3 linked regions of the Ovis aries genome follow. The protein of the gene in region 3 purifies or fractionates together with the protein of the main gene of each other region. This does not show direct contact. Links are inferred from orthologs where the notes say so. Each region holds a gene or a part of one and is shown on either strand. Other genes may lie near its edges.

Region 1 (5,884 bases), on a different chromosome or scaffold from region 3:
TTGACTAGACAGACGTTTGTTGGCAAATGCTTGAAGTTATACAAAGTCTGTGTTTAAAACTTTTACTTTATTTGGGAAAGATATGGACTTAACTCAGTTAAGCCATGAATAAAAATTTAAATACCTTTTTATTTTAATTTGATGGGAAAAATTTCTTCTTGAAACCAATATTATTGTTTATTATGTGACAGATTTTCTAATTGTCCATAAACATGCTTTGTTAAACTCAACTTGGCAGATACTTATTGAGCTTCTGTTGTGTCAGACTCTCCACTGGTGAAAACCTTCAAAAATGCCTACCTTTAAAAAGCTCATAGTCTACATAATAATAATAAACAGTTTGGATATGATAAGTACTATAATTTATGTGCAGTGGCTTTCAGAAGCAGAGATGTGGTAGTCTACACAGAAGTACCAGAAGAGTATTTTAGATGCAGTATGTACTATATGCTTTGAAAGACTGAGTAGGAATTTACCATGTGATAGAGAGGAAGAAGCCTATTTAGGCAGAAAACATCGTAAACAAAACCATGCAGGCTTGAACGTAGCAAGGTGTTTGGGAACTCAGGAGGGGTATCTGTGGCCAAGGTTAAGATGAAGCTCAGAGGGCAGCATAGAGGCTGGGACACGGGTTGTGATAGTTTTGGGGAATCGTGTGATAACCCAGCTCATCAGAATCACCAGTGAAGCTCCATTTTCAAATTAATTGCCAGGCTTTCACTCAGTTTTACTGAATCTTTGAGAGTGGAATCTAGGTAATTTTCTTAAGTTCTGTAATTAAATGTGTGTGATTTTGCCAAATTATACTTCAGCTAAGGGCAGGGAGTATGTCTCTCTAATCTCTTGGATAAACAGGACACAAAGTATCACAAATCTAAGTGTTGAAGGACTTTGGAGGTCATCTGGTTCAGTCTTGTCTCTGGCCTGTCCTGTCTCCCCTCAGTAACTGAAGCTCACCGTTTGATTTCTCTTAGCTGGTTCTGATGATCAGATTTCCTTTGCATTGAGTTGAACTTTGCTGCTTTATGTCTCACTAGTTCTAGGCAGTATCCCTCATATTACATTCCAGCTGTGATCTTTCCAGTGCAGTGCAGAGCTGGAAATACTACTTCCTGTTTATGAACTACTGTGTTAATGCAGTATTAGGGGCTAATAATGCCCCTAGATACTTTTTTTACATATCATGCTGAAGTGGCTACTTTTCCTAAACTCGTAACAGGTATTAGTATCTATTACCGAAAAATAGAAGGAAGAATGAGTAGGGAAATAAAAGCATTTTTAACTAGCCTAGATGACCTTAAAGTCTTTAGTTTATTGCTTTAGTAAGATTGAATTTAGACATAGCTTTCTATTTTACCAATTTTTTCTTTGAAACAACAGTATATTTTAAAAGTATAGTAAGAACTGAAATTAGTATCAAACTTTTTTGTGATCTTTTTTGAACTAGATCTTTTCAAATGACAAAGACAATTTAAATTTAGCATTATTACAGAACATTTGGAAATGGGAAAATACTAGTTCCAGTTCTGCTACTTCAAAAAACTACTATTTATTTTGGTATATGATTTTAGCTTCTCTAGGCTTTTTAATAGATTTTATTGTTATAACCATAATACCCATACAGTTTTGAACCCTGCCTTTTTCACTTGACATTAAATCATAAGCATTTTCCAAGTTATTATAGTCAATCATAACCGTCATTTTTAATTGGCTGCATTATATTCTTTCGAATAGCTTAGTGGTGAAGAAAACAGACTGTGAAGCCAGACTGCCTGGGTTCATATCCCAGCTCTACTGCTTACTGGCTCTGTGATCTTGGGCAACTCATTTAACTTCTCTGTGTCTCAGTTTTCCCATTCTGTAAACTGGAGAGAATATTCTCTCCCTCATAGGGTTATGAGGATTACGTGTGTTAGTGTATGTGAAGCACTTGGTGTGCCTGACATATACTAAATGCTCTAGAAGGGTTATCAAGGATGACACATACCGAAACTTAAATACACTTAAGTATATCTTCCTTGGGGACTTTTAGGTTGCTTCTGTTTCTTGCTTTTCACAGCCTTGTTAGGATGGACAAAGTGTACCTTTAAGATTATCTTCAGAATTTTTTGCATGAGCTCTTTTACTCAGCCGTATTGTAAACTTTTAAATTGGCTTGTGCTCCACTTGAAGGTATTTGTACGGCATCTACACCTTTTGTATTGTTGGGAGATGTTTTGGACTGTCTTCCTTTGGATCAGTGTGACACAATATTCACTTTTGTGGAAAGAAATGTTGCTACCTGGAAATCAGTAAGTGCCTTAGTTTCTTTTTCTGCTGTCTTTAGCTTTCTATAGATCCAGAGTTCTGAGGGTAGTTTGTTTTGTTTGTGGCTTTTATTTCTGACTTTGCTGATTGCTAAAAAGTTTACCTTTATGAGAGTTATGTGTTCTGCTTTCTTGGAAAAGCCAAGTAAGAGTCACATGGAGATAAAAATGACAGTACAAAATTTGAGTAGAAACAGTTACCTGGAAAACACACACTTTTACATGTTTTAAAAGTTACTTAGAATCGTCTTTGTTATATGTTTGAAAATATTTCATTAAAAATGTTATTTGCTTGGAAGAATTGAAAGCGGCATAGTAGATTCAGCACATATTAGTGTTCTTTAAAATCTTACTTCCTGTGACTTACTATTGAAGAATGTGCAACAACTTCAGAACAATAATAGTAATTTCTGTCTTAATTTCAGAATACATTCTATTCTGCTGGGAAAAATTATTTACTACGTATGTGCAATGGTAAGTAACTGAGCAGTAAATGATTGGTTTTTAAGAAGGAAATATGGTCAGGAAACCAGGTGGTTGCATTAAACACAAGAGATTAAATTTTTTTTAAGTAGATTGTATCTTCATTTTAAAATAGCAATCTGATTTATTAAAACTGATCATTTGCTTTAAATTTATCTATTCCTGTTCTAGGTATAAACTTAATAAAAACCAAAAAGTTGAGTTAAGTTTATCTTGTCCATGTTAAACTCATTTTATTTTTAATTTTCTAGTCCTTTTTTTGTGACAAAAAATAGTTTCTACCCCCATTTTGAGAACTACTGCTTTAGGAAAATACTTTTGAACTGGTTAAGACACTTGGGTATATTGTAATAAATATAGAATGATCTCTGCTGTGTAACCTTTGTTTCCATTTGTTGTTAGATCTCCTACGAAGATTATCAAAATCCCAGAATACAGTCTTCTGTGGACGAATTCAACTCTTTTTGGCCAGGCTTTTCCCTTTATCTGAGAAATCAGGTGAGCTTTTGTAAATAAATTGCTTTGCAGGAAAATTTTTACCTGTTTTTCATGGACTAGAATATACCATGATGATTTAAAAAAAAAAAAAGGTTCTAAAAAGTTGAGAGATAGCATAGGAAATTGTCACTTGATTTTCGTTTACTTGTAAATAGTTGTACCTATTCCAGTGCATAATACAGGTAACACTCAAATAAAGCCATTGATTCTTCAAGTTCAAAGCTTATTAATAATAATGTACAGTTGAATCACACTGAAATATGTAGACATGAATCATGTTTTTATTTTTTGCTTCCGTTTTCTTCTTCAGTCACTGTTTAGCCACAGTTACTTTTGTTCATTTATCATTGTGAAATATAACAGTAATATGAAAAGTGCATGAAGTAAGTGTATAGTATAATAATTATAAAGCATATAGTTGCATTACCACTGGTCAGGTCCAAAAGTGAAGCATGACAGTTCTCTCGAGCCCTCCACAGTCTGTTCGGATATGCCAGATTTTAACTGTCTATTCGCCTCAGTCACCCCTTCCTTAATATCAGGCTAATCTACCACCTGCTTCCCATGTTGTAAGGATTAAATGAGTTAAAACATGTGACGAGCTTACAGCAGTGCCTGCTTGTGGTAAGACCTATAGTTTGTGTTAGCAGTGGCAAAATTACCTGTGACTTTCTTTTTGTCCTGCTGTGTCTCTGCTTTTTTTCTTTCCTCTTATTTAAATGTGGTCAGGATTAATTTCAATTTACCAGTGTATTCACAACTTGTATTTCTGATCCTCTGTCTGTGACTATTTTCCCCTTTAGACTTTTCTTTAGTGCAAATTTTGTTCTGTCTGAAAATCTTTTTCTTTACGAAGAATGGTTGAAGATTAGATAGAATGGTTGAAGTAGGTTGGCACTGGATATAGGATTTCATTTAGTGGAAGGTCATCATTTCTTTGCCTTTGTCTTCTAGAGAGGAGTCAGATCTCAGTCTAACTCCTTTGAAGATAATCTAGTTTTGTTTTTTTCTCTGTTTGCTCTTGAAGTTTTCTTTTGCTTTGAGTTTTTGTTTGTTCTTTTGTTTGTGGGGTTTTTGGTTTTTCAGTTTTCTATAATGTATCCAAGCATGGATTTTTAAAATTTATCATTCTTCAGATTTGTGGGCATCTTGAGTTTGTGCATTGGTTGTCCTTCATCCACTTTGTAAAAATTTAAGCTGATGTTTCTTCAGATATTGTGTATGCTGCTTTCTCTTTATGGAACTCTAGTTAACATTCTATACCTTGTCTGTCTCTTACACTTTCTGCATTTTTCATCTGTCTCTCTTTCCATCACATTCTTTTCTTTTTTTTTTTTTAATTTTATTTTTTTATTTGGCTGCTCTGGGTCATAGTTGTAGCATGTGGGATCTAGCTCCCTGACCAGGGATCGAACCTGGGCCCCCTGCACTGGGAGCTCAGAGTCTTAGCCACTGGACCACCAGGGAAGTCCCATTTCCATCACATTCTGCGTGATTTCTTTGGAAATGTTTTCTAGTTTACTACTCTGTTCATCTATGAATAATCTGCTGCAAAATGAGTTCTTAATTTCCGTAATTGTATATTTCATTTCTAAAAAGTCTTTTTTTAAGTCTGTGTGTCACTTTTTAGTTTCTTATTCCCTGTTTTCAAGCTTGTTTTTTAGTTGTCTAACCAGGGTAGGCACTGTTACCTTTATCTATATGTCTGATAATGCCAGTGTCTTAAGTCCTTGCGGCTGTTCGTCACTCACACTTGTGCCTGTTTCTCACTCATGATGTCTTATCTCTTTGTGTGTTTCTGGTTAGCGTTTGATGTTATGTTTGAGAAGATATTTGAAGGAATAATTCGGAGGCCTGGGTTAGATACTTTTCTCCAGAAAACGGCTTTTGTGATCTGCCAGGCACCTTAGAAGGTACTACGACTAGTGTAAGCTTACCTTCATCTAGCCCAGCTCAAGCTCTGTGATTGCTTAGGTCATTGAGAAGGCTTGGCACTGGGCTGCAGTTTGGTTCATCCCTACCCGAGGACGTAACCCCGTACGTCCCAGCCCAGAAGATGGTTGGGGTAGGATTTGTTAGATTCCACACCTTCCTTGGACTCAGATTTATTTTTAACATCCTCACTTCAGGAAGCTGCTAAAAGAGTGGCTCAGTTTTGCAACGGATTCTTCCTGTTTGACAGACAGAAGTGGCTTTGAGTGCTGACGCTGCATTGCTTATCTTTCTTGCCTTCTTGGTTTTTGCCATATATTCCTCACTGAACGTTAGCTCTTTACAGTTTTTAAGAAAAACCAGTTTTTCTATTTCATTGTCTAAAACAGTGCTGTGAACAGGGTTTATGCTCTGTAAGAATTTATAGAATTAATGTAATTGATCCAAGTTTGGAGTTGTCCTTAGTGAGAGGATTAATCTGAATTGTTAATTAGCTAGTTAATTATTAGCCTTCTGTTACTGGAAGCTCAACTTTTTCTATTTTTTAGCAGCTTTACTGAGATGTGAATTCACATACCATACAGTTCTCCATTGAAAATGTGCAGTTTTCTGGGGTTTTTTTTAGTATATTCACAGGGTTGTGCAGTCATCACTGCAGCTGATTT
Region 2 (5,884 bases), on a different chromosome or scaffold from region 3:
TGTATCCCATTAAAAATATTTCAAGGTGACAATGTTAACGATAACTACATTTAGTTCTTTATTTTGGTGCCTATCACAAAGATAACTAATGAAACTATAAACGTGTCTATATTTAATAGGGATTAAAGCTATAGGCCTTCAAAAGTTACTGTCATATATATAAAATATCTTAAACTACCAGTGATCAATTCTGAAAAGTTAGGCTAGAATGAAAAATGTACCTTTCAAATGCAATGAAAAGACAATCTGTTTGGGTCACCACACTGAAAAATAATGTTACAAATTCTGACAGCTTTTCTCACTGCTTTGTCAGCTATGTATGAGCTGCTCAGAGTGCTGCCAAAAAGGCTGTATGTATATATTACAGTGTTTGGGTTATTGATGTAAATTAAGCATATCTCTTGCTAAAAAATCAAGTCCCTTGGATCATATGATAGAATAAGTCCTTGGTTTACTTATCAGTCTGTTTCACTGGTCCAGAGAAATATTCCTCAAAGGAGTCTTTCCAGTGAAGAAAACTGATTGATGGTATCAGCAAGGCTGGACCTTTCATCATACACAAATGAGTAAGAGTCTCAAACTTCTAATTCCAGAGATCCAATCTCCTCATTGGAACCTTCAAACTTCCTCACTGCAGGAATCTTGTTAGGAGCAATAAGAAGAACCTGCTGTTGCCATTTCTGATCCATAATGTTGGAGGCTTGAAAATTCCTATCCAGTCAGTACTGCAATCCACTTTTTGCCATTATGGCTAGAATTATGTTACTGTTTTTGGGTGATGCTTTATTTTTTTCCCTCCAGAAACTGAGTTAGAAAACTAACTAGACCTTTCCCCAGCTTAACCAACATTTACCTGTCAACAGAATGGAATCTGATTCAAAGTCACCTCTCACGTCATGATAAATTTTTCTAAACTGACTGGTATGCCAACTATTTAAATGAAACCAGCATGAGCTATTACATTAAAAAAATCACTTTAATGATCTTTTTAATGGTTTCAAGCTTAAACTAATACTGCTACTAGCTAAAATTATACTTAAAAAATTACTTTAATATTCAAAAAAGGTAAAAGTTGAAGGACACAAGTCACAAAATATAGAATTAGTACTTGTGGGTTACCAGGGAACTCTTGTTCTACAGGAAGGAAAGCTAAACATGGGTATGTGCAAATACTTTGATTGAAAATGCACCAGGAAGCTGGACCAAGTTATGGGAACAAACACTTTTTGATAAAGCAAATAATAGAGATGATGGTTAGTAAAGTGAAAAACCTTGATAAGGAAAAAAGTCTAACTATGCCTACATGGACTCACAGACAAATTACAAATTCTGGCTCCCTCTGTGCATAAAACTAGTTTAGGCCCAAGTCACTGGCACAATCTATTTTCTTTGCAGCAGACTTGGTCACTGTAGTAAGACAGTGATATGATAAAATTGAGTTTGGCTGACATAGAAAGTAGAATTTCAATGATTAAATATGGGTAATAAAGTCTAAGTATTAAAGACTAAACACAAAACATTTTTCTCCCTCTGTCTTGAGGCAACACTGACACCCCAGGAAAAAAAATCCAACACTGTTTCTCTTTCCTCCTGACCCACTGTCAGTTCCCTAAGGAAAGGACATTAAAAGGTAGAAAAATTTGAGGTAGATAGGTCAACTAATTTTCATCTGTAATACTGAGAACTGTTTTCAGCTGAATGGGTGAAAGAAATCCAAGAAAACTCTTCAAATTGTTTCTATGAGAATACTTATAACCTGATACATCTCAACTCCCCCAAATAAAAATACTAGTAGAAATTTTGTTCCTACTTTCCAAAAAGAACAATCAGAGTCTAGTTTGCTTTGTAACTCAATTTATGACAAGCACTCCAATTACAAGGTTGCTCCTGTAGGACTACTGAAGTACAGGAACACCAGACACAAAAGGCAGTTATCAGGCGTGTTTGTCGTTCTGTTACTTTGCTGACTAAGGAACAACTGAAGCTGTAAGGGACTCCTGGATTTCTCCCTTAGCCTTGCCGTGTGGCTTATGGGATCTTAGTTCCCTGACCAGGGATTGAACCCCAGGCCCTCAGGGTGAGGTCGAAATTCTAACCACAGGATGGCCAGGAAATTCCCTGATTTTTGTCTTCGGTAAAACTGCTTCCCCCCTCTGTATTGATAATTTAAAAAATCACACACAACCTAAGGCTTTGCATTTTTCACATCTGTTTTCCACATGCATTACATCATCTGATTCTAAGGCAGGCAATGAATGTCACAGGGCAGAATACTCATGGAAATTCAGAGTAATTGACTTGCCTAAGTGAAAATAAATATAATTCTCTATGTATTTCCATAGTTGACTACATTCATCTAAATCAAATGAAGATGGTATCTGAGAGAACAGCTGATGTATGTTAAAGGTTTTGATAAGTACCACATTAGATCATACAAGTGACAGAGGACAGACAATATTTAGTGAATGGAGTAACAGAATCTTTTCCATTTACAAAATGCTATCATAAATATTTTTTGAAGTTTTTAAGTTCTCTGCTATCCCTATTTTTCAGATAAAACAAGAAGCCAAGAGAGGCATGTTTACCTATTATTATATAAGTAAAAGAGTTCAGTGATCTTTTCTACACTAAAGTTGCCTCAAGGAGTCTGACTGGAGTTTAAGGGTTCATTTCACAATCTGAAATTGCCTTTTCATAATCTTTTTGCTTGGATATTGGAGGAATTTTGCTATTATAGAAGGCATTTACTTAATGTCAAATCATCTCATCCTGGAAACAATTATAGGGAGTATATGCTTCAGAATGTACTTTTTTGGGGGAATAATTACTGTAGAATTAATTCTGATTGGTAATCAAGACCAATCACAAGTATGTTTGGTTCTAGATATTAAACTTTGTCTTCTTCAGCAAGATTAGGGATCTGAGTCAGTGATATTTATGTCCATTCTTCTTTATAAGCCAATGAGACAAACTTCACTTCTGATTCAACAGGCCTGAGCGAGACTGGACTAGTGGAAGTCGACAAGAGGACTGCACTGGGCATGGAGGAGAATGCAAGAGGACGCATCTTTGCCAGCCGGTGCTTTCCCGCCTGCCTCTGCCTTCCAGGCTTCTCCTCCTGAAGGAGCACAGACAACCGGAGGACAAGCAGGAGGCTGACGAGGCCCAAGAAGGATCGTTAATACCACATCTGCCAGAGGCTGTATCTGTTCCTGAGGGAGAATGGACAACCCTTCTTGCTTTGAAGCTAAAACAGGGACAATCAGGAATGGATGGTTCATGTCATCTTCCTTCCTTTTTTTTTTTCTGTTGGCATCTCTGAATACAACAGGCTTATTTTTCAGGTTCTTAGTGTTACATGCTCAGGTCAGTGAACCCACAAGGGTGACTTAGAAAGGAATAGGATAAGTTGTTTTCCCAGCAGTTCAAGTTCCCCACGCTAACGCAAAAAAAGTAACCTGAAAGAGCTATGATACTCTTCAATTATTATTTAAAATCAAGTATAACACAGTTTCTGCCTAATCTCTCATATTTCTTGTACCCAAACGGAAACGCTCACCATAATTAAAGTTGCTCAAATTGCTGCTATATTTCCCACTAGGAGGATTATAAATCTGCCTGGCATCCCTTTTTGGTCCTGCTGAAGATTTCTTGGGAGGTGAACCTGAAGTTGTATCTTCACTGGCTCTCTTTTGCCTATAACGGTAGGAAGAGCAGCAATGAAAAAAAATTCTTTTATATCAGAGGCTAGCAATAAATTTATCATATTAGTCACAAAAGACACCCTAAAGATGATAATCACATCAGAAAAAAGGAAATAACATCTGATGTCATCAAATTAACTCTGCTTCGGTTATGCAGACATTGTCACAAGGGCATTTACAAGGCTCTAAAACAATGTGAACTATGTAGCTTCATAGATTATACACAAGTGACTCATTTCATAGAACTTACCAAAAAAGTCTTATGCCACAGCAATACAAACAATGGTTTGAAAATTCCAGAGTTGTATTCCACCAGTTTATTTTATAAACACTAGATTAGATTTTCTATGTAAGTCATGCTTCTAATAGCTATATTTTAACATCTTATTAAGACTCATTTAATAATGTACCATTTTGTACAGGAAATGCAATAATCTGAATTCAGACTTTTCATATTTATAAATCAAATTAGAACACTTTAATCCCTTTTAAATATGTTTCTTACCCAAGTTCAACCTTCTGTACAGGCTTCCAGGATAATGTTACTGTGCTCTTATAAGAAGGAGGAATATGGAAGAGATCCTGAAGAAACAAAATGAAGAGATTTCTGAAGTATTTGGTGGTGTGGCAAGTGGCAGTAAAGATAGGAAATGGGAAGACACATCTTTAATCTTAGAAGGAGAGTAACTTATCCACTTGCTTTTGTGCTAGTGACTAAAACAAGAACCTAGGGAAAACTGCATGAGAAAGTAAACAAGGACAATTTGGTTTGCAAATGACATACATTACCTAATTAATGTTATTTTGTGCATATCACTTAAGAAAGTGCAGCTAACTTTTTTCAAATGTCGTTTCAGGTTACAGGACAAAATATCAATTTTTATCAACTTCAATAAAATCATCAAGTGGTTTCTTTTGCACAGATGCAGTCACTAAGGTGCTTTAAGGAAAATATAATGGTGCAATCTGCATTTGCTATTGCAGATTTTTAAGTGGTTCAATACTAGAACAAAACCAATGGTCTGGGTAATCATGTTTTTCTTCCCCTCAAATATCTATATATTACCAATAATGAAAAATTCCACATTATTTAAATACTAAATTATCAATATATGGCAATGCAAATATTTGCTAAATTTAAATACTGAAATAATTCAGAAGTGAAGTAATCTAGTCCTCATTATACCCTCAAAACTATGATGAATTTATATTTATCGTTTTACCCTAATTTTTATATATAGGTAAAATCTGATAAAAGTAAACTGAGTTTCTTTCACAGTATTTGCTTATTCTAAACATTATCTTCAACTTTGATTTATGGTATCAGTTCAAATAAAGTAAAATCTCACATTTTAATGTATTAATTCACCATTTCAAACTATGATTTATATTTAAGATTTGAAATAAATGGAGCCTATTATAAAAATTTTCTTTGAGGTGTGAGTCAGTTTTCTTCCCTCTTAATGCCCTTTCCCTTTTCCTCTTGGCACTGATAATTCATCCCTTAATGTCTCACTGCTTTCTCTGAAAAGTTCCCTTTCTCTTCTGATAAAAAGTAAGTATTCCATGGGATTTTTACCAGACTACTTTTAAGACATACCACTAGCCCTGATTTTGTTCCTGTCAGGCTTTGTGCTGTGTGACAAATATTTCTTTCTCCCACCTGGCTACAATACTGTTAACTGTGACAATACCGTTAACTTATGATATCAAATGATGGGCTCTTTGTTGTGATTGCTCTTTTGTTCTTTCAGGTTATTAGTTTTTGTTTAGGCTAACAGATACTTGAGGAGGATAAATGGAACTGAACCGTATTTATGGTTTAATGGTAAGGTACACCTTAGCCTACAGTATAGAACACTCTCAATTTATTACATAGAGAAATTAACAGAAAAGAGCATAGGACATGTCATGCACCACATAAGACTGTCCATTCTTAGTAAAAGTGAAGCAGGGTTTTATTGGTCATTCAAAAGGAACCAATAGCGTTAAAACTACAAGAGCTTAAGTCAGTGAAATTTCTGAGTCTAATGTATCTGCTCCAACGCTGTTTGTCAGAACTGTGCATGCCTCCCTTTGTTTACAGTATCTTCTGCAATAACATTTAAATAAATAAAACAATGAATTATAATAGCTACAAAAGTGTTACCTGGTATTATAAAAAGCATAAAGCTTTAAAA
Region 3 (6,431 bases):
AAATCCAAATAAAGACAGGATCAGGGCTTCCCTGCTGGCTCAGTGGTAAAGTATCCACCTTTCATTGCAGGAGACACAGGTTCAATCCCTAATCTGCGAAGATCCCACATACCTCAGAGCAACTAAGCCTGAGTGCCGTGACTACTGAGCCTGTGCTCTGGAGCCCCAGAGCCACAACTACTGAGCCCACATGCTGCAACTACTGAAGCCCGCAAGCCCTAGAGACTGTGCTCCGCAGCAAGAGGAGCCAATGAAACGAGAAGCCCTCTCATCGCTACCAGAGAGCAGTCCCTGCTTGCCACAACTACGTTGCCCAGACAGCAACGTAGACCCTGCACAGTCAATAATAAATAAATCAATAAAATTGTAATTATTATTATTTTTTAAAGACAGGATCAGTAGTTCTGAACGTTTCCTTTTGCCTCAGGTGCCAATATGGCTTGACGTAGCACTGTTACTGGCCCCGTCTTTACTTAAAATTTTGATATTTTGCTCATCAGATATTTTAGAGAGATTTTAAGCATTAATTTCAATTTTAAAATACTGCATTCAAATATTATTTATCTTGATGACTCAGTTTTTTAAGATTAAAAAAATTATTTTTTTATTTTTGGCTCTGCTGGGTCTTTGTTGCTATGAGTGGGCTCTCTCTAGTTGCGGAGAGCAGGGGCTACTCTCCGCTGTGCGTGTTTCTCGTTGCAGTGGCTTCTCTTGTTGTGGAGCACGGGCTCCAGGTGCACGGGGTTCAGTAGTTGCAGCACTCAGCCTCGGTAGTTGTGGCTCTCAGGCTTAGTTGCTGCACTGCATGTGGGATCTTCTCGGACCAGGGATGGAACCCACGTCCCCTACATTGCAAGGCAGATTCTTAACTACTGAACTACCAGAGAAGTCTCATGAGTTTTTTGCTTTGGTGTTTGGTACCCCCCTTTAGGTTTGCATGCCTCACCCTCATTCTGGCCCCACTTCCCCACTTCCGGATATAGAGGAAGTGCTCTATAAGTGTTCTGATGTAATTATTACATACAATATCTACCTTATGTCATGTAAAGCCTCCCTCTGGATTGACTGGTTTCTCTTCATTGGGCTTTTTGACTGAAGTTATACCTGTGATGACTTTAGCTCTGAATTTGTCTCAGACACGGACCCTGCGATAGCTTTATACTAAATGAAAACAGAAATGCCTGAACCTCTTTGGAAAACTGTGGACAAAGATTTAATTGTGTCAAGGGTTTAGGGAGACTGGAAAGCTGGAGCAGGCTTATGGAGTTTGCCCTACTTACTTTCCTTCCTCCTTCCCACCCCCCAAATCTCCTATAGCTGAGAAAAGACTGACACTACCAGGTATGGCAAGAATTAAGAATCACTGGAACTTTCACAGGGTGCTAGTGAGAATGTAAAGTGGAAAAACCACTTAGAAAACTGTCAGGATCTACTAAAGCTAAACACTCACATGACCTTCCACTCACCATTTCACTCCCAGCTATTTGCCCTAGAGAGGTAAATTCGTTTTCACAAAAATGTTTGTATATGATTTATTAGTAACGGCCAAACACTGGAGAAAAAATGTCTATAAGTGAATGGAGAAACTACATTGGCTATATTGTGGAATAGCCACACAGTGGAATACCGCTGGTGCTGCTAAGTCGCTTCAGTCCTGTCCTACTCTGTGCGACCCCATAGACGGCAGCCTACCAGGCTCCTCCGTCCATGGGATTTTCCAGGCAACAGTACTGGAGTGGGGTGGCATCGCCTTCTCCGAGTGGAATACTACTCAGGAGTAAAAAAGAAGGAATATTGCTATGTATAGCAATGTGGAAAATCTCCAAACATTTTGTTGAGCAGAAGCCAGACACAAAAGACAATCTTCTGCATGATTCTGTTTGTATGAAATTCAAGAACAGACAAGATTATAGTGATAGAAATAAACATAGTGGTTGCCTGGTTGGGGCAGGAGGGAGGAAAGGGGTGTGGCTGACTTGAGAGGAACACAACAGAACTTTCTGTGGTGACGGAAATGTTCTATAACTGCACTGGGCAATTGTCACTCGGGTATCAATCATCAGAACTCATGGGAACGCTCAACTCAGGGCAGGATAAAAAGGCTGGTATCATTCCAAGCTCCCTAGCCTTCTCAGAACCCTTTCAGAACCTCTACACTGCAGGACCACTTCAAAAATTTCTTTCCTCAGCGTAGAGACCATATTTCCTAAGGGCGAGACACTCACCCTGGGCTCACATCACGGCTTCGGTTGCCCGTACTAAATATGGTGGCACACGAGCCGGTTACAACCTCGACCACGTGACGGTACGCTCGCAGACGCCCGCTTCGGTCAGCCCACTCCGGCGCCTACTTTTTGATTGACCAATGAATCGGAGGTATGAGGCACGCCCTTTTCCCCCCTCGACCAATAGCCTCCAGACGCCTTCCGCAGAATCCAATCATCGCTTCCGCCTCTCTTGAATGAAAAGCGAGCGGTCCAGTGAGCTGAGCCGCAGTCGGACCCAGGAGGCAGGAAGCGCAACAGCGCGTGTCGGGGCGCGAGAACGGTAACCGGAGCCGGGTGCTCTCTTCGCAGCACGGGGAAGCGAACGAGGAATCAGGTGAGCGGCTGGCCCAGGCGCGGGGCCGCGGTGCGGAGACGTCGGATCGGCGGGCGAGCGGGAGATAGGAGACGCCAGGAGTTGAGGGAAGGAGACCGGGCGCGAGACAAGGGGAGGCGGGGCGGTTGGGGTGGCCGGAGCGCGCGTTGGCGGCCGTTGGGCGTTAGGGCGCATGCGCGAGGGGCAGACCGGCCGTTGGCGCGCGGGTACGGGTCCGCTTCCGGGAGGGGCTGTCATGGCCGCCTGCAGGCTAAACCCCACCTTGGGGCAGAGTCTGCCTGTTCTTGGAAGCCCGAGACGGTTTGGGGAGGGGTCAGGAGGCGACGCGGGGGTCTGGGGCCGCGGAGCGCGAAGCCGGAGCTGGTAGACGTGGCGATCTTCAAGATCGAAAGACTCTTCCTCCGTTCTTGCTTTGTGTTTCGGGGGAGTGGATTCGTGGTTCCAGAGATGTAGGGCAAAAAGTGATGTTCCAGTAAGGAACAAAGTCTTAAATGAAAATTCTCTTGGGGGGCACTTCAGGGTGACAAGGGTACGCGAAAGGCTCTGAGTTGTTACTTAGTCGTCTGTCAGCTTTCAAGTTGATCAGCTCTTGGGGCCTCTGCCACCTTTTCTGGGTGGAGCAAACAGCGCCAAATCCTGTCCTGATCTAATTTGTTTTGATTTTTAGGTTCTGTCTAGCCAGTCCCTAGAAATTTTTGTGTGTCAAGCTTAGTCTGTCATTAAATTTGTCTCCCCATTAAAACAAAAAGAGTTTCTTCGAACTCTTCTCTTATTTTTTGGAATGCTCATCTCTTTCCGGATTTTAAGCCCAGAGTAGACGACGCTGCGTCTTTAATGTCGAAGGCTCCCCCAGGGTTTGGTCTTTCCCTGTAGGGTGATCCAACCTCTTTTCCCTCTCTAACAATGCTCCCACCGTGGTTAACCCTCTTTGATTTGGTGTCTGGTTTTCCCTGCTGCTGGTCCCTTAACTTATTCCATCTTCTCTGGAGTAACTTGGTCTTGAGCAAATCCTGATTGAGTCACAACTGAAAACCTAATCAGCGATTTCTTATTGTTCAGCGAATTAAGTATGAATGCTCTGGGCCTAACCAGCTTGGTTTTCTGCCTCTTGCTTCAAGCAGCCAGTTCTTTCCAACCCCTGAAAGGGTTTAGACTAGTGGTTTCTGGACCGCCGTTTGCTGGTGCCTTTTCTTCTCTTTGATGCTTGAAGTGAGCGTTCCTGTTTTCACCAGTAGGAATCCTCAGTACTTGTATCGGATTGCCTCTTTCAAGAATCCCATAAGGATACTTGCTTAGCCCCTAAACTCTGCCTTGAGGCCCCGATTCTGATTCCATTCATTCAGCCATTTGCTCTTGAGTGCTTGCTTGTTATGTACTAGGTGCTGTTCTGGGTGCTGGGCTGGCGTGACTGGAGGGGGTGTTTTTTAAGTTGGACCCAACTTTGGAATATGCCATTTTGGAACAACAGAACAGCTTCCCTGATGTTCAGTGGGTAAAGAATCTGCCTGCATTGCAGGAGACATAGAGATGGGGGCTTGATCCATGGGTCAGGAACATCCCCTGGAGGAGAAAATGGCAACCCACTCCAGTATTTTTGCCTGAAAAATCCTAAGAACAGAGGAGCCTGGTGGGCCACAGTCCATGGTGTCAATAAGAGTTGGAGACGACAGAGTGACTAAACACAATGGAAAACGCCTTTTTGAAACAACAGAGGTCTGAAAAAAGTGGGAAAAGCAAGTTGAAAGGTGCTGAGGCATGTTTGAGGCTCAGAAGCAAGGCCTGTGTGTAAGGGTGACGGGGGTGACAAACTGAGTATAGAGGGGGTCAGGTTGTGCTGGGCTTGATAGGCTGTGGTGAAGACTCTGTTGTACTCTGAACACAGTGGGATCCTGTGGAGGGCGTTGAGCAGAGGAGCGGCTTTCTCTGACTTAGCTTTTTTAGGCTCCCTCCAGCAGCTGAGGGGCATTGAGGGGGGAGTGGGAGATGGAAAGCAAGGAGCCCAACAAGGTGGCTTTTGGCATAATCCAGGCAAGAGGTGACAGTGCCTAAGTGGCTATCAGCTGACAATGGCTAAAACGAACTGAAGTATTCCAGTAAAAAGGAATATTCATCAGCCACAAAAAGGAATGGTGTACTGATACATGGCCACACTGTAGAGGAACCTTGAAAAATTATGTGAGTAACAGAAGTCAGACTGTCACATGTTGTATGATTCCATTATATGAAATGTTCCAGGTAGGCAGATTCACAAAAAAGATTAGTGGTTGCCAAAGTAAGTTGGGGGGGCACAGGATGGTAGCCTAAGGATTCAGTCTTACTGACATGAGGAAATGTATGCTAAAGATGACTGTGCAGCAGTTGAAAGTATTTACGACTGCACAAGAAACCAATAAAATGTGCCTTTTCAACAGTGCCTTGTATGGCATGTGAATGTCTCCATAAAGCTGCTCTATAAAAAGAAAGGTGATGGTGGCCTGAGAGCCAGTGACGTAGCAGGGGTGAGAAGTGGCCTGATTGACCTGCTTGGCTTTATTGGCTGTGGGACAGGAAAAGAGAAAAGAGAACAGTTCAGAGAACGGAGTTGCCTTTTCTCAGATGCGGGTTGAGGGGAGAGGTTGTCCATAGAAAGGCCGCAAGGAGGTAGTTAAGGCCCTGGGGCTGCATACTCACAGAGGATGAGTGGCAAAAGGGCCACAAATTGGGCCTGGGACCATCAAGATCCATCTCAGGAAGAGGGACTCTTTTTAGCACTTCCACCCCTTCACTGGGCTTCCCTGAGGGCTGAATGGTAAAGAACCCACCTCCCAATGCGGGAGATGTGGGTTCAGTCCCCGGGTCGGGAAGATCCCCTGGAGGAGGGCATGGCAACCCACTCTAGTATTCTTGCCTGGAAAATCCCATGGACAGAGAAACCTGGCCAGCTAGAGTTCATGTGGTTACAAAGAGAAACGACTTAGCAACTAAATGACAGCAACAACCACCCCCTTGACTGGAGGCTGGGGTGCAACAGGGAGGACAAAAGTATCCTCATGTTTGGGACCCTTGTAGCCTGCACCCACTAGGTGCTCTGTGTGTCTGAATTAAATGAAGCCAGGAAGTGATCGCACTTTGTATTAATTCTTTTTACCATCTTGGCTGTATTCTTACTGGCTCCAGGCCCAATGGGAGGTCTTTTCATGAGAGCACTTAATTATTCCCTTGTGCAAACCACAAATAGCAGGAGCAGCTGGGGCTGGGTAGACACTGGCGAGCTCACAAGCTCCCATCTCTCCAGCATCCTGGCAGTTGCATCTCCAGGCTCAGGGTGGGGTCCTTGGGGAGTGAAGGGGGAGGGGAGTCCTTGAGACTAGGTGGTCTGAGGCTATTCAGTAGAGCTGAGACCTTGAAGCTGAGAAGGAGGCATTTATTTGTTCAGAGACCAGAAGTAATGCAGCAGAGTCATGCCTGTGGGGCTGGGTGACCTGAGTGGGGGTTAGAGGCTCAGTGAGTATCAGCAGCCAAATGAGGCTGGGGTGGCATGGAATGGGGTGGGCAGGGGCCAGTGAGGGAGGTTGCAAGTGGAAAGGAATTGGGGTTTCACTTGATACACCTGTGGTTGTGTCCTGAAGGGTCCCAGGGAGAGGTGAGGCAGCTCAGTGGAGGGTGGTGGAGAGGTGGGCACAACAGTTGGAAGCTGGGAAGTGCCACATAGCTGGAGTAGTGGGACCTGCTGTTGGAGTCAGTGGCGGAGGTGAGTTAGAGAGAGATGGGAGAATGAGGTCCAGTCTTGGCTTCAGTGGCCAGGCGGCCAGACCTGACCCCAGGACCTCACCCGCCTCAGACTTGTGTCA

The links. Proteins that work in one complex are often made in the same cells at the same time.
Region 1: the proteins of DDX39A (region 3) and THOC1 purify together in Homo sapiens (affinity purification with mass spectrometry; 3 studies listed by BioGRID and IntAct, with this or other methods). This does not show direct contact. The link is inferred for Ovis aries from reciprocal best matches to the Homo sapiens genes DDX39A and THOC1.
Region 2: the proteins of DDX39A (region 3) and API5 fractionate together in Homo sapiens (co-fractionation; 3 studies listed by BioGRID, with this or other methods). This does not show direct contact. The link is inferred for Ovis aries from reciprocal best matches to the Homo sapiens genes DDX39A and API5.

Annotation. Positions count from the first base shown.
Region 1 is NC_056076.1:35,652,887-35,658,770, reverse strand, and holds part of THOC1 (THO complex subunit 1), read left to right. Parts: intron 1-2,172; coding exon 2,173-2,291; intron 2,292-2,731; coding exon 2,732-2,780; intron 2,781-3,191; coding exon 3,192-3,287; intron 3,288-5,884. UniProt on the Homo sapiens protein: Component of the THO subcomplex of the TREX complex which is thought to couple mRNA transcription, processing and nuclear export, and which specifically associates with spliced mRNA and not with unspliced pre-mRNA.
Region 2 is NC_056068.1:72,368,205-72,374,088, reverse strand, and holds part of API5 (apoptosis inhibitor 5), read right to left. Parts: intron 5,131-5,884; exon of another isoform or gene 4,287-5,130; coding exon 4,210-4,286; exon of another isoform or gene 3,697-4,209; coding exon 3,560-3,696; exon of another isoform or gene 2,992-3,559; intron 1-2,991. UniProt on the Homo sapiens protein: Antiapoptotic factor that may have a role in protein assembly. Negatively regulates ACIN1. By binding to ACIN1, it suppresses ACIN1 cleavage from CASP3 and ACIN1-mediated DNA fragmentation. Also known to efficiently suppress E2F1-induced apoptosis.
Region 3 is NC_056058.1:9,662,221-9,668,651, forward strand, and holds the start of DDX39A (ATP-dependent RNA helicase DDX39A), read left to right. Parts: upstream 1-2,492; 5' UTR 2,493-2,601; exon of another isoform or gene 2,602-4,776; intron 4,777-6,431. UniProt on the Homo sapiens protein: Helicase that plays an essential role in mRNA export and is involved in multiple steps in RNA metabolism including alternative splicing. Regulates nuclear mRNA export to the cytoplasm through association with ECD.